Linked DNA regions of Schizosaccharomyces pombe. The gene in region 1 interacts genetically with each later gene. Each region holds a gene or a part of one and is shown in the gene's direction. Other genes may lie near its edges. The genes, in order: smn1, pex13 and acp1.

What was found.
Region 2: of smn1 (region 1) and pex13, a mutation in one rescues a mutant of the other (synthetic rescue), as found in Schizosaccharomyces pombe (one study listed by BioGRID).
Region 3: of smn1 (region 1) and acp1, a mutation in one rescues a mutant of the other (synthetic rescue), as found in Schizosaccharomyces pombe (one study listed by BioGRID).

Annotation. Positions count from the first base shown.
Region 1 is NC_003424.3:821,514-824,716, reverse strand, and holds smn1 (SMN complex subunit Smn1/Gem1), read left to right. Parts: upstream 1-1,762; 5' UTR 1,763-1,867; coding exon 1,868-2,228; exon of another isoform or gene 2,229-2,287; coding exon 2,288-2,385; 3' UTR 2,386-2,625; downstream 2,626-3,203. Other genes in the region: SPOM_SPAC2G11.09 (Ca(2+) transporter), read right to left, coding at 1-823, 933-978; protein phosphatase PP2C catalytic subunit Ptc3, read left to right, coding at 3,013-3,203. UniProt on the Schizosaccharomyces pombe protein: The SMN complex catalyzes the assembly of small nuclear ribonucleoproteins (snRNPs), the building blocks of the spliceosome, and thereby plays an important role in the splicing of cellular pre-mRNAs.
Region 2 is NC_003424.3:2,083,308-2,086,972, forward strand, and holds pex13 (peroxin 13), read left to right. Parts: upstream 1-1,802; 5' UTR 1,803-1,940; coding exon 1,941-2,807; 3' UTR 2,808-3,126; downstream 3,127-3,665. Other genes in the region: lysine methyltransferase Set8, read left to right, coding at 212-1,501; calnexin Cnx1, read right to left, coding at 3,308-3,665. UniProt on the Schizosaccharomyces pombe protein: Component of the PEX13-PEX14 docking complex, a translocon channel that specifically mediates the import of peroxisomal cargo proteins bound to PEX5 receptor.
Region 3 is NC_003424.3:4,583,434-4,587,118, forward strand, and holds acp1 (F-actin-capping protein alpha subunit), read left to right. Parts: upstream 1-1,781; 5' UTR 1,782-1,821; coding exon 1,822-1,891; intron 1,892-1,937; coding exon 1,938-2,131; intron 2,132-2,195; coding exon 2,196-2,702; 3' UTR 2,703-3,103; downstream 3,104-3,685. Other genes in the region: peptidase Icp55, read left to right, coding at 1-124, 186-263, 307-528, 578-685, 730-900; succinate dehydrogenase subunit Emi5, read right to left, coding at 1,117-1,243, 1,300-1,592; til1 (tRNA(Ile)-lysidine synthetase family protein), read right to left, coding at 3,151-3,685. UniProt on the Schizosaccharomyces pombe protein: F-actin-capping proteins bind in a Ca(2+)-independent manner to the fast growing ends of actin filaments (barbed end) thereby blocking the exchange of subunits at these ends.

The DNA of each region.
Region 1 (3,203 bases):
TTCTTGACGTATTTACTTTTTTTAGACAGTAATATATCCATGTATGAGTAATTTCGGCATATACTTAAACTGTCTATAGAACCCACATCTAATTTATCAAAATATGCTTTTAAATTTTCCGTTGAACAAAGTTCATTAGGTAAACCAGATATAAAAACGGTTCTGTCCGTCAATCTATTTTGACGAGCCAGATATGATTGACGAATGTCAGCAATCGATTTTGTTGAGGAAAAAAGAACATAAAGAAGAAAAATGGAAATAAAGTAAGTAAAAAGAACGTAAAGATAGAGAAATCCATCACCAGGCTGTGGAAGACCTGGTATATCAGATAAATTACCAATTGGATTAAATAAAGAAGGTCCTAACACACCAACATTTAACTCACTACCATTAGCAATAATAGGAGATTGTACAATTGACTTCTTGACAAGTGGACTTGAGAAGAAATATTCAGATTTGGCAGGCATCGACAAAGTAATATTCCCGAATGCATCTCCACGAAAATGCTTATTGACGGGCATAATAATCAAAACGCCAAGCAGGGAAGCAAAAGAAAGGAATTTTATACCCATTTTAAAAAACAATAAAAAAACGTAGCCGTCCAAACCAGCACAATTTTGCACTACATCATCAGGGATGTTTACTAAATCCATTAACCATTTGTAGTACGATGAAGAAAGTGTAGGTAAATTGAGACCTTCAATGGTAGTTCTAGGGGCATATAGTACTTTCCATCTTTTACGAAAGAAGCAAAAGAATACGCATGCAGAGGCTCCAAGTAAAAAGGCGAGCCAAAATTGAGTTCTTAAATCGCTCGATGGATCTGTTTTCAGCGATGAATCTCGAATCTGTAGGAATTAACACCCGCAGATCGAAGATTCAAACAACGTTAGCAATTTTGTTACAAATGAGGGAAGGATAGGTATACTTACTTTTTCTAGGATCACTGTCGAAAATACCATATCCATTGAAAGCCATTATTGCAAAGTAGCAAACTTAAGGGTCCTTTCGTCAAATTATCGAGGAATGAATGAACGATCGTTTCAGAAAATCGAGAACAAGAAAAATCTGATCTATCCAAGTATTATATGCATGTAAAAAGTAACGGAAAAAGGAAATTATCAAAAGATACACTATTGAAATATGTTATGATAGTTTTTCATGAACGAAAATCTTTAAAATATGAATGTATGTAGAGGAGGGATAGTAGAACGATACTCATCCAATACCCATTCGCATGGTCTTTCAGAATGCGATATGTACTTAACGTAAATTAAGATGACGATGCATAAAAATATGTAACGTAATTACGTGGAGCTACCTTAAATTCAATTAGGTAGTTTAAAATCTATCCCAGAAAGCTAACTTACTGAGAAGTCCTCGCTAAACCATATTAGCGCATGTAGCATTTAATGAATTATTCGTGTGGATATTAGATAACTGATTTAGGTTGATTTTTGTAGCTTATACAATTCCTTTTTCTTTTTGGTATAATAAAGCCAAAATCGTAAACAAAGATGAATTGGAATAAACATTCTTTCACAATACTTCCACGAGTTCACATCGCCATGTGCGAACCTCGTTATATCTTTGACCTCGAATTCTTGTAGTCCTGTCCACTAAGGCGGCTGATAGTTAAGGCAAGGAGCTAAGTTACCACAGCAGATTATAATTGTTGTAGTAAGCGGAATCGCCGAGCTCAAACTGTTTATCGTTATACGCGTTGTGCTTTATAAACAATATTTTCACTTTAATAATATTCAATTAATATAAGAGTTAACAAAGTTGGAAACTACTTGTTAATAAAGCTTTCTTAAGGTACAAAGAAAGACATACAGGAATAGATTATCTACAACTTGTACCAAAAATGGACCAGAGCCAAAAAGAAGTGTGGGATGATTCAGAGCTCAGAAATGCCTTTGAAACCGCTTTACATGAATTCAAAAAGTATCATAGTATTGAAGCAAAGGGAGGAGTATCGGACCCGGATTCTAGGCTAGATGGTGAAAAATTAATTTCAGCTGCACGGACAGAAGAATCAATAAGTAAGCTAGAAGAAGGTGAGCAGATGATAAATCAGCAAACAGAGACGACATTGGAAGGAGATACACATATCCAACAGTTTGCAGATAATAAAGGCCTTAGCGACGAAAAGCCTGAAACAAGGGCAGCAGAGACACATCAAGAGTTTATGGAAGTTCCTCCCCCTATAAGAGGGTTAACATATGGTAAGTAAAAGGTCTTCTAAGAAAATTTATGACTCTCTATTATTAACATAATGATTTAGACGAGACTTACAAAAAGCTTATCATGAGCTGGTACTATGCGGGCTACTATACAGGTTTAGCTGAAGGACTTGCTAAAAGTGAGCAACGTAAAGATTAGCTTCTTGTGCTATTTTTCAAAGTTATGTATATCTTCATTGTTGATGTTGTTATAAAACTGTTATCCTACTTGCTATTGCTAAGATTTATTACTCCTATCAAATAGTTCTATTTCAATTTTCTTTCTAATAAGTAGAATTTATTTGGTCATTTATTAAATCCAATGGAATTTTTAATTGAATCAAAATAATATCATTTTTGCCTAATAGAAATTTTTTCTGAATCAAGTTGCTGAATTTGTTGGGGCATTCTACTCAGCGTTGTTTTTGTCTCTATTGTAGTCATAGTAAAATGCAAACCATTGAAAAATCAATTTATAGGATATGCTATGTTTACACATGTTTTTTAATGAACATTTGAAATTTATAAGTATTTAGTCCTTGATACCATTTATTCTGTTGTTTACATATATGCCTTGACTACTGCTAATCTTGTTACCTTCCATAGTCTTTTAACAACTATCGTTCGTCTCCACGGTGGTGATGTAGTTGTAGAGGGTGCCACAACACTCCCTCCGACAAGCTCCACCACCTACTAGCGATTTACCTATCACTACTACATAACCCGTTTTGAAGCGACACAAAAAGAAAACGTGAAAATTTGTGTCATCTATTAGCAAGAGCTGTCAATGGGTCAGACATTATCAGAGCCAGTCACCGAGAAGCACTCGGTGAACGGGAGCAATGAGTTCGTCCTTTATGGACTTTCAAGCATGCAAGGATGGCGTATCTCAATGGAAGATGCTCATTCTGCTATACTTTCAATGGAGTGCTCTGCAGTAAAAGACCCGGTCGACTTTTTTGCGGTTTATGACGGCCA
Region 2 (3,665 bases), 1.3 Mb from region 1:
CGTATTTTTGTTCATATAGGGTTGGGTTCGAGTTACCGAAAGTTAATGTCGCTTCGGTTGTTTCTCTAGGGACAGGGTATTTTCGTTGCTATTGACTTAGAAAAGTCGTGGAGTTATTAATAAACAACCAATAAATTTCAACTCGATTAAATACATTTTATTGTTAAGTTTTCCGTCGTTGTTTTGGCTTAAGACTGAGAAAATCAAGTCAATGGATATCAAATACAATGAGTTGGTCAACCAATTTGCGCCGGGAGCAAAACAAATTACTATAAAAAAAATACGAAAGAAAGGCAATGGAATTTTTTCTTTGAATAGGTATACTTCTGGAACTGTTCTTTTAGAGGTTCCACTTGAAAATATAATATGCCGCAAAACAGTTGAACAATTTCGAAATTCTTGTGATAAATTCGCTTCAATCGCAACGCTTGAGGAATGGAACGATATGAGTTTCAGAACTCAGGCTATGTTATTTCTTTGCTATTTATGGCTCGGTATTCAACCCCGAACCAACAAGTGGGATAAGTTTTTAACGGTTCTTCCTTTATCTATCAATACGCCTGCACAATGGCCCGAAAAAGAAGTCTACAGCCTCCAAGGCACTTCGATTTTTAATCCAGTTTGTGTCAAGAGAAAAATTTTACAACAAGAGTGGCTTTCATTAAACCAGCGGTATTCTGATTCCTGGCCTAGTAAAATAACACTCCCAAAATGGGTTCATGCTGATGCTTTGTTTCACAGTAGGTGCCTTGAAAGTCCCTTTAAAGATCCAGTTTTAGCTCCTGTGATTGATTTATGTAATCACTCCTCTAAGTCTAATGCAAAATGGTCATTTTCGGAAGATGCTATGCAGCTCTATCTTGACAAGGACATTGATGAAAATGAAGAAGTTACGATAAACTATGGAAGTGAAAAAGGTTCTGCTGAGTTTTTATTTTCTTATGGTTTTTTACCTGAACCTGAGGGCGATCGGATTACAAATGTTATGAAACTCTTGATTCCCGAGGATTCTAATGACTCGCTTGATCTTGCTAAAAGGAGATCTTGTAAAACTCCCCCCATGATTGAATTTGTTTCTGATTCATCTGGGGAATTATGGTGGCATGCTCCATTTCTTTTTTTTTCTGTACTTAATGTTGAAGACTTTACAAACTTCAAAATGGTGTGTGATGAATCAAAAGCTCAAACAGTTGACTGGGAATTTGAAGGTCAAAAATGCTCAGTTGAAGATTTGCCAAAGCTTGTACAATTATCTCCTAAAAGAGATTTGTATATTTTACGTGTTTTTTGTCTCGCTGAACAATTAGCGGATGCTGCCCTAAATACAAACATTGAGAATATGTACAATCCAACCGAACGACGTTCAGAATCGGTAGAGCTTTTAAAGCGTGAAAGTTTCTTACTTAAGAAAGTCCTTTTATATCTTAGAGACGTTATTTCAAAGCTCCTTAAGTCCAAAGTTGTGGTGGAATTCATCCATAGCCAGACCATTGAGTCATGAATCGACCATGCATAAAAAGTTATTTATTTAAAAAAAAAAAGAAAATATTTAGTATGTGATGAATACTCTACAAATCTCTTAATTTGGAATGACTAATCGTGTATAATAATATAATATCCGTAATATATCCATACCAAATAAATTAATCAGTAATTGTGAAAAAAATAAGTATCTATTTTGATTATGCTATTAAATATTAGGAAATTTTCAATTGTAGTATTGATACCAGTTTCCTGTATTCTAAGGCGTTAGTATTCAGATTGGACTACCATTAATACTATTTCGGACTATGTATTCTACCACACCGACAACTTTGACATAAAGCGACCTAGTTCCTATTTAATAGCTCGTGCAGCGTATTTACGAAGGACTCATCCTACAACTTTTTGATTTATTAGAATATTTGCCAAGGACGCATCTAGCTTATTGAGATTTAACTATGGAAACAAATCAAAATGAAAAAGGACCAAGTCTACCTTCTTATCCTGCTGGAGGAATTATGTCTGTAAGCAACTCAAATGCTGATACGAATCAAGGCGTTACTCAGCATCCCTTGGCAAATCGGATTGTTAATCCTAACTACTACAATATGGGATTCAATCCATACTCGGGTTTTAACTCCTTCATTCCTTCCTTTAATCCATTTGTCCCTTTGGAAACCAATTTACCAGGGAACGGACCTATATCATCACTGCAGGTCATTGAATCTATTGTAGGTGCCGTTGGAAGTATAGCTCAGGTCCTTGAGTCTACTTTAATGGCTGCTCACATGAGTTATAATACATTTGTTTCTGTGAGTGAAAATCTGAACAAACTAAAATCGTCTATTGGTGCAATATTTGGTATTGTTTCATTGTTGTCGCGGCTTAAACGCCTAGTTTTAAAGTTCTTCAAGCATTCTAAAATCGATGAAATGAATTCACAAGAATATGATGTATTTGAGAAGGAGGAAGGAAACCATAAAAATTCAATATATTCAATTGTCAGTAGCTTGGCAATTATTCTTGGGTTGGTGGGCTTACCTTATGCAATAATTAGGTTATTCAAAAATATTTATGAAAAAGAAAAACAGATTCAACAAGCAAAAATCAGAAAAAAAATTGATAGTCTTGAGTTTTGCAAGGCTGATTATGAGTTTATGTCCAGAGATCCGGGAGTGGAAATGTCTTTAAAAAAAGGAGATATCATAGCAATTCTATCTAAAACAGACACCCAAGGTAATCCTTGCGAATGGTGGCAAGGAAGAAAGAGATCTGGCGAGACTGGGTGGTTTCCTTCAAATTATTGTTCAATCATTTCAAGGTAACGTTACGATATTTTGTTTGAGGACAATAAAATGTCTGAATCCCGTATAGTAAACGAACTTTTTAGTTTGACAATTTATTCTACTATTCTCACAAGATATGTAGACAAACATCCTTTCTCTTGATTGCAGAATTTCACGCATTACTTGCACTTGTTTATGGGAAATGCCTGATCATTTCTCTCTGACGACTAATGCGCAGTTGTAAAAAGTTTTTTGATAGTACTACCCACGATTTATAAATTCATAGTCTATTTATTGATATTACTCATAATAAGAACTAGAGAAAACATTTTCAAGTATTTTATAATTAGACTAAGGCTTTTAACAGAGTCGCTACTTTGAGTCAAACTTTGTAAACAAAATATGCTGTATTAGTGAGTATATATATTGATATATTCATTTACTTCAGTCAAAAGTCCACAAAGGAACAGGAAGTAGTTTATTGCAACTTCTATGCGATTCTTAAAATAAGAAAAACTTTTGACATTTTAGCAGTTTCATTAGTCTTCATTCTTCGCAGTTGGTGATTCAGTTTCGGGAGCGTAAGAAACGTCTATCTTCTCAGTCTCAGTCTCTTGCTTAAACTTCTCTTGCTGCTCTTTCTCAGCTTCCGTAGTTCCAGTAGATAAAGAAGCCGGGGAAGAGGAAGCAAAGAAATAAAAGTAACAAGTAAGAATAACAGCGGTTAAAGAGCCAAGAACGGCAACAATTGCAATCCCAATTTCAGGAGTCTCGATGATGGTTTCAACATAGTAGTCAACTTTTTCGGCAACATTTGGAGGAAGTTTAGCTTTAATAATATCATATACGTCAAGAAACTTCTCAAGAATTTGATTAGACTCTTCGTCAACATGCATT
Region 3 (3,685 bases), 3.8 Mb from region 1:
TTACAGGGAAATTATGCGGAAAAGATTTGAGAAAGAAGCTGAAATGTCCGCGGAATTCAATTATCGGTTTTGTATTGGAGGCTGTGATAGATCCGCATATGTGCCTGTAGTAGCAGGTGGAAAAGTAAGTAATCAATTCCTGAAAATGCTGAATGCTATTACTTTAAGCTTTATTAACAAAGAAGAATGGCTTGACTATCCATTACACAATTAATAATGATATATTCCGTCCTGACGAAATGGTTTTGGTAGACGCTGGCGGTGTAAGTGCCTTCAATTTTTTGTCAATTAACACTTGCTTAACAGGAATTCGGTGGTTATGTAACAGATATCTCGAGGACTTGGCCCATCAACGGCAAATTTAGTACTGTACAAAGGGATTTATATCAAGCAGTTCTGAATGTGCAAAAGAAATGTATTAAGTATTGTTGCACCAGTAATGGCTGGAGCTTGGCTGATATTCACTTTGAAAGTGTTAAATTAATGCATGAAGAATTGAAGCAGGTCGGCATTCATGGAACTAAACGGGTAAGTTTGCTACTTCGCAAAATATTCGTACTAACTTCCTTGGCTATAGGAGATTACAGATATATTGTATCCGCATTCAATTGGGCATGAGATTGGACTAGAGATTCACGATTGTTCTACGAATAATGGTTACCAACCGTTGCGCAAAAACCAAGTTGTAAGTTGAAGTTCTTTTCAGATTATTTGCTAAACGGGGTTTAGATTACCATAGAACCCGGACTATATGTTCCAGAAGAAGACGGATGGCCTCAATGGGCTCAAGGAATAGCTATTCGAATTGAAGATAGCGTAATCGTTGGTGATGACAAGCCGTTCGTATTAACTAGTGCTGCTCCAAAAGAAATTGAAGAAATTGAAGCTTTGAAAAAGTAGAGATTGTGTTACCTATTGACTAAGAATTAGGACTACATCTGACTATCGTAGAATAAAAGACATTATTTTTGGACTAAGTTTCTTAGAAGTAAGATTGAAGGGAAAAAAATCTATATATACTGTTAAATTTTAATCATTACACGAATTTTTTTTTAATATTTTATTGAAAAGTCAACGTCAAAAATAAACATTAGTTTAGAGAAACAAGAAACGTTTTCAAAATAGTTCTGGCATTCGAAGTGTATGATTCCTCTGACTTCGACAGTATTTGCTCAATTCCTTGAAGACTTGACTCGATTTCCACTTTTCAGGTGCTTCCCTTTCTCCTGAACACCAGTATAGACTAAAAATTGGACGTTAAAATAGCGCACATTAAGTATATCAAGTTCATTTACTTACATATCCCAATCGGGCTCATCTAATAATTGATCATACTCTCGCAGAAGAGATACTGGATATTTATCAATCTGATCTTTGGCGAAATTAGATAAAAGCAAATCCGTTTCCAATATTCCCCGTTTTCTAGATTGATATTTAAGTCTTGCCAACATTGCGTCTCTAGTCTCGTAAGAGCGATTCACCCTTTTTAAATCACCTTTGGTATGCTCGAAGCGAAGTTGAGGCATTCTATTCATACATCTTGCACTTCTTAGAAGCGTCGTGATATTAGATAAGTTTGTCTTCCTTAACATTGTTGATATTTTCAAATGAACAACTAAGCGATTAACCAGACGACCTCCGAGGCTATATTTACTTATATATGAATAAAAAGAAAAAAAAATTAGGTTATAGCTCCTTTTTTTGGAAGATTTGGTAGACTATACAACTCTTTGGTGATAGTTTTGCGGCATTGTCTTCACCATCCGTATTCGTTTCTTACCATTCACCATTGTCCGCACCACATTATAGAAATTTCGAAAGATGGAAAAGGAGGCAATTTACAAACTCATTAGAGAATCTCCTCCAGGAGAAGTTAATCAAGTAGTTCATGGTTTGTTAAAGTGCTGAATACCTCAACATTCTAATGCATATAATAGATATACGCGACATCGGTCTAAGTGATGAGGAAGCAATTCACGAACAACTGAAGCTTTATCATGAAGACTACAACTCTTCTGTCAGCATATCGGATGACGAAAAAGTAATTATTTCAGCTGATAATCGTCTAGAGGGCAATCGCTATTATGATCAAGTTTTACAGAAATCATTTACCATTAATTATGAAACTATGGTAAGGTTAAATTTTTCAAATCTTTTTTTTGTGATAATTGTTAAATAGCTAACAGTATTCATAGGAAGCTGAAAACGTTGAAGATTATACCGAAGCCATAAAAATTCCCGATGAAATAGTAAAGCAAATTAAAAAGGTTGCTTCGGATCACTATCTATCTGATGTAACATTTGGAATCATCAAAAAAAGCGATGAAGTGGAATCGTTTACAATTGTTTTGGTTTCTTCAAAGTATAATCCCAAGAACTATTGGAACGGTTCGTGGCGCTGTATATGCAATTACAACGTTTCGGAAAAGAAACTGGAAGGCAGGTCGCATATTCGTGTTCATTACTATGAAGACGGAAATGTTTGGTTGGATGCATCCCGTCCTATTTCTGCTACAGTCGAGGAGACCAGTAAGCTTTATGAAGTGTTGGCTCAAGTCGAAAATGGAATTCAACAGTCCTTCAACGTTGAACTTTCTTCACTTAATGACAAAAAGTTTAAAGAATTGCGTCGTCAACTTCCAGTCACTCGCCAGAAAATTAATTGGGAAAACGTTAGTGGCATCCGTATGAGAAATACTTGAAACACTTATATGTGTTTATAAATTTTGGAAATTTTTTTGCGACGATATTTTTTAAGACGGTGATTCAAGCTGTTTCCTTTTCCTTCTTCCTAAATACATATACATTGTCGCTCGATATACGACTAATAATTACTAGTCGTTTACTTTCTAAAACTTTACAAGAGCAACTCACACGCTCTTTTCTTAAACTCTTATAAGTTTTAGGAAATTATTTTTTTACGATCAATAATACAAGTTCTTCATCATTTTTTTACCGCTCGTCACCAGTAATTTAAGGGCGTATTACTTTTTGTGTGTAAGCATCAGTCGTGCTATTTATCACCAGAATATGCTCTGAGCATCTGACTTTCACCTCTGACTTTGTGATAATATAAATAAATAATGAGGCATTATTAAATCACAAATCTTGTATCTCTAATTAACATTGATTTCATGGTTCAAGCAGCAATTAAAGCTTGAACTTGTGTAGACAGTTTGAGATAATATCACTTCTAAAATTAAACCCAAAAGTAGGTATTCCAACTAACTTATCGTTTTCTTCCGACAAGACTGGAATAGTAAACCTGATATGGCCCGGAACTTGTATACAAAATTTAAGAAACTCTTCCTTACTCAAAAATCCCTTCAATGAATTTAGATCTTTGGAAAGCAACGGTCTAAGTATAAGTGTAGTCTGTGTATTTTTGCAACTGTACTTTATCCAAAACCTGTGATCCCATAAAACATAACGATCAGGATTTATGGTTATAGTTTTTTTTTTCAATTCAGCTTTACTAAATGGTTGTCTGGAAATTTGGAGTTGTAATTTAGTGTCGTCCTTTATAGAAGAGGAAGTGAGTAGACATTTAGCAATTGTTAGCTTTTTTCCATCAAAAACTGAATTACAAAGGCTTACAACAGAAGATCGTTTAATCTGTCTGCAACTTGTAGTCAATGTTAGACACCTTAAGAGCAATTCTTCCTTAGTAAGATTAGAGTGCTTT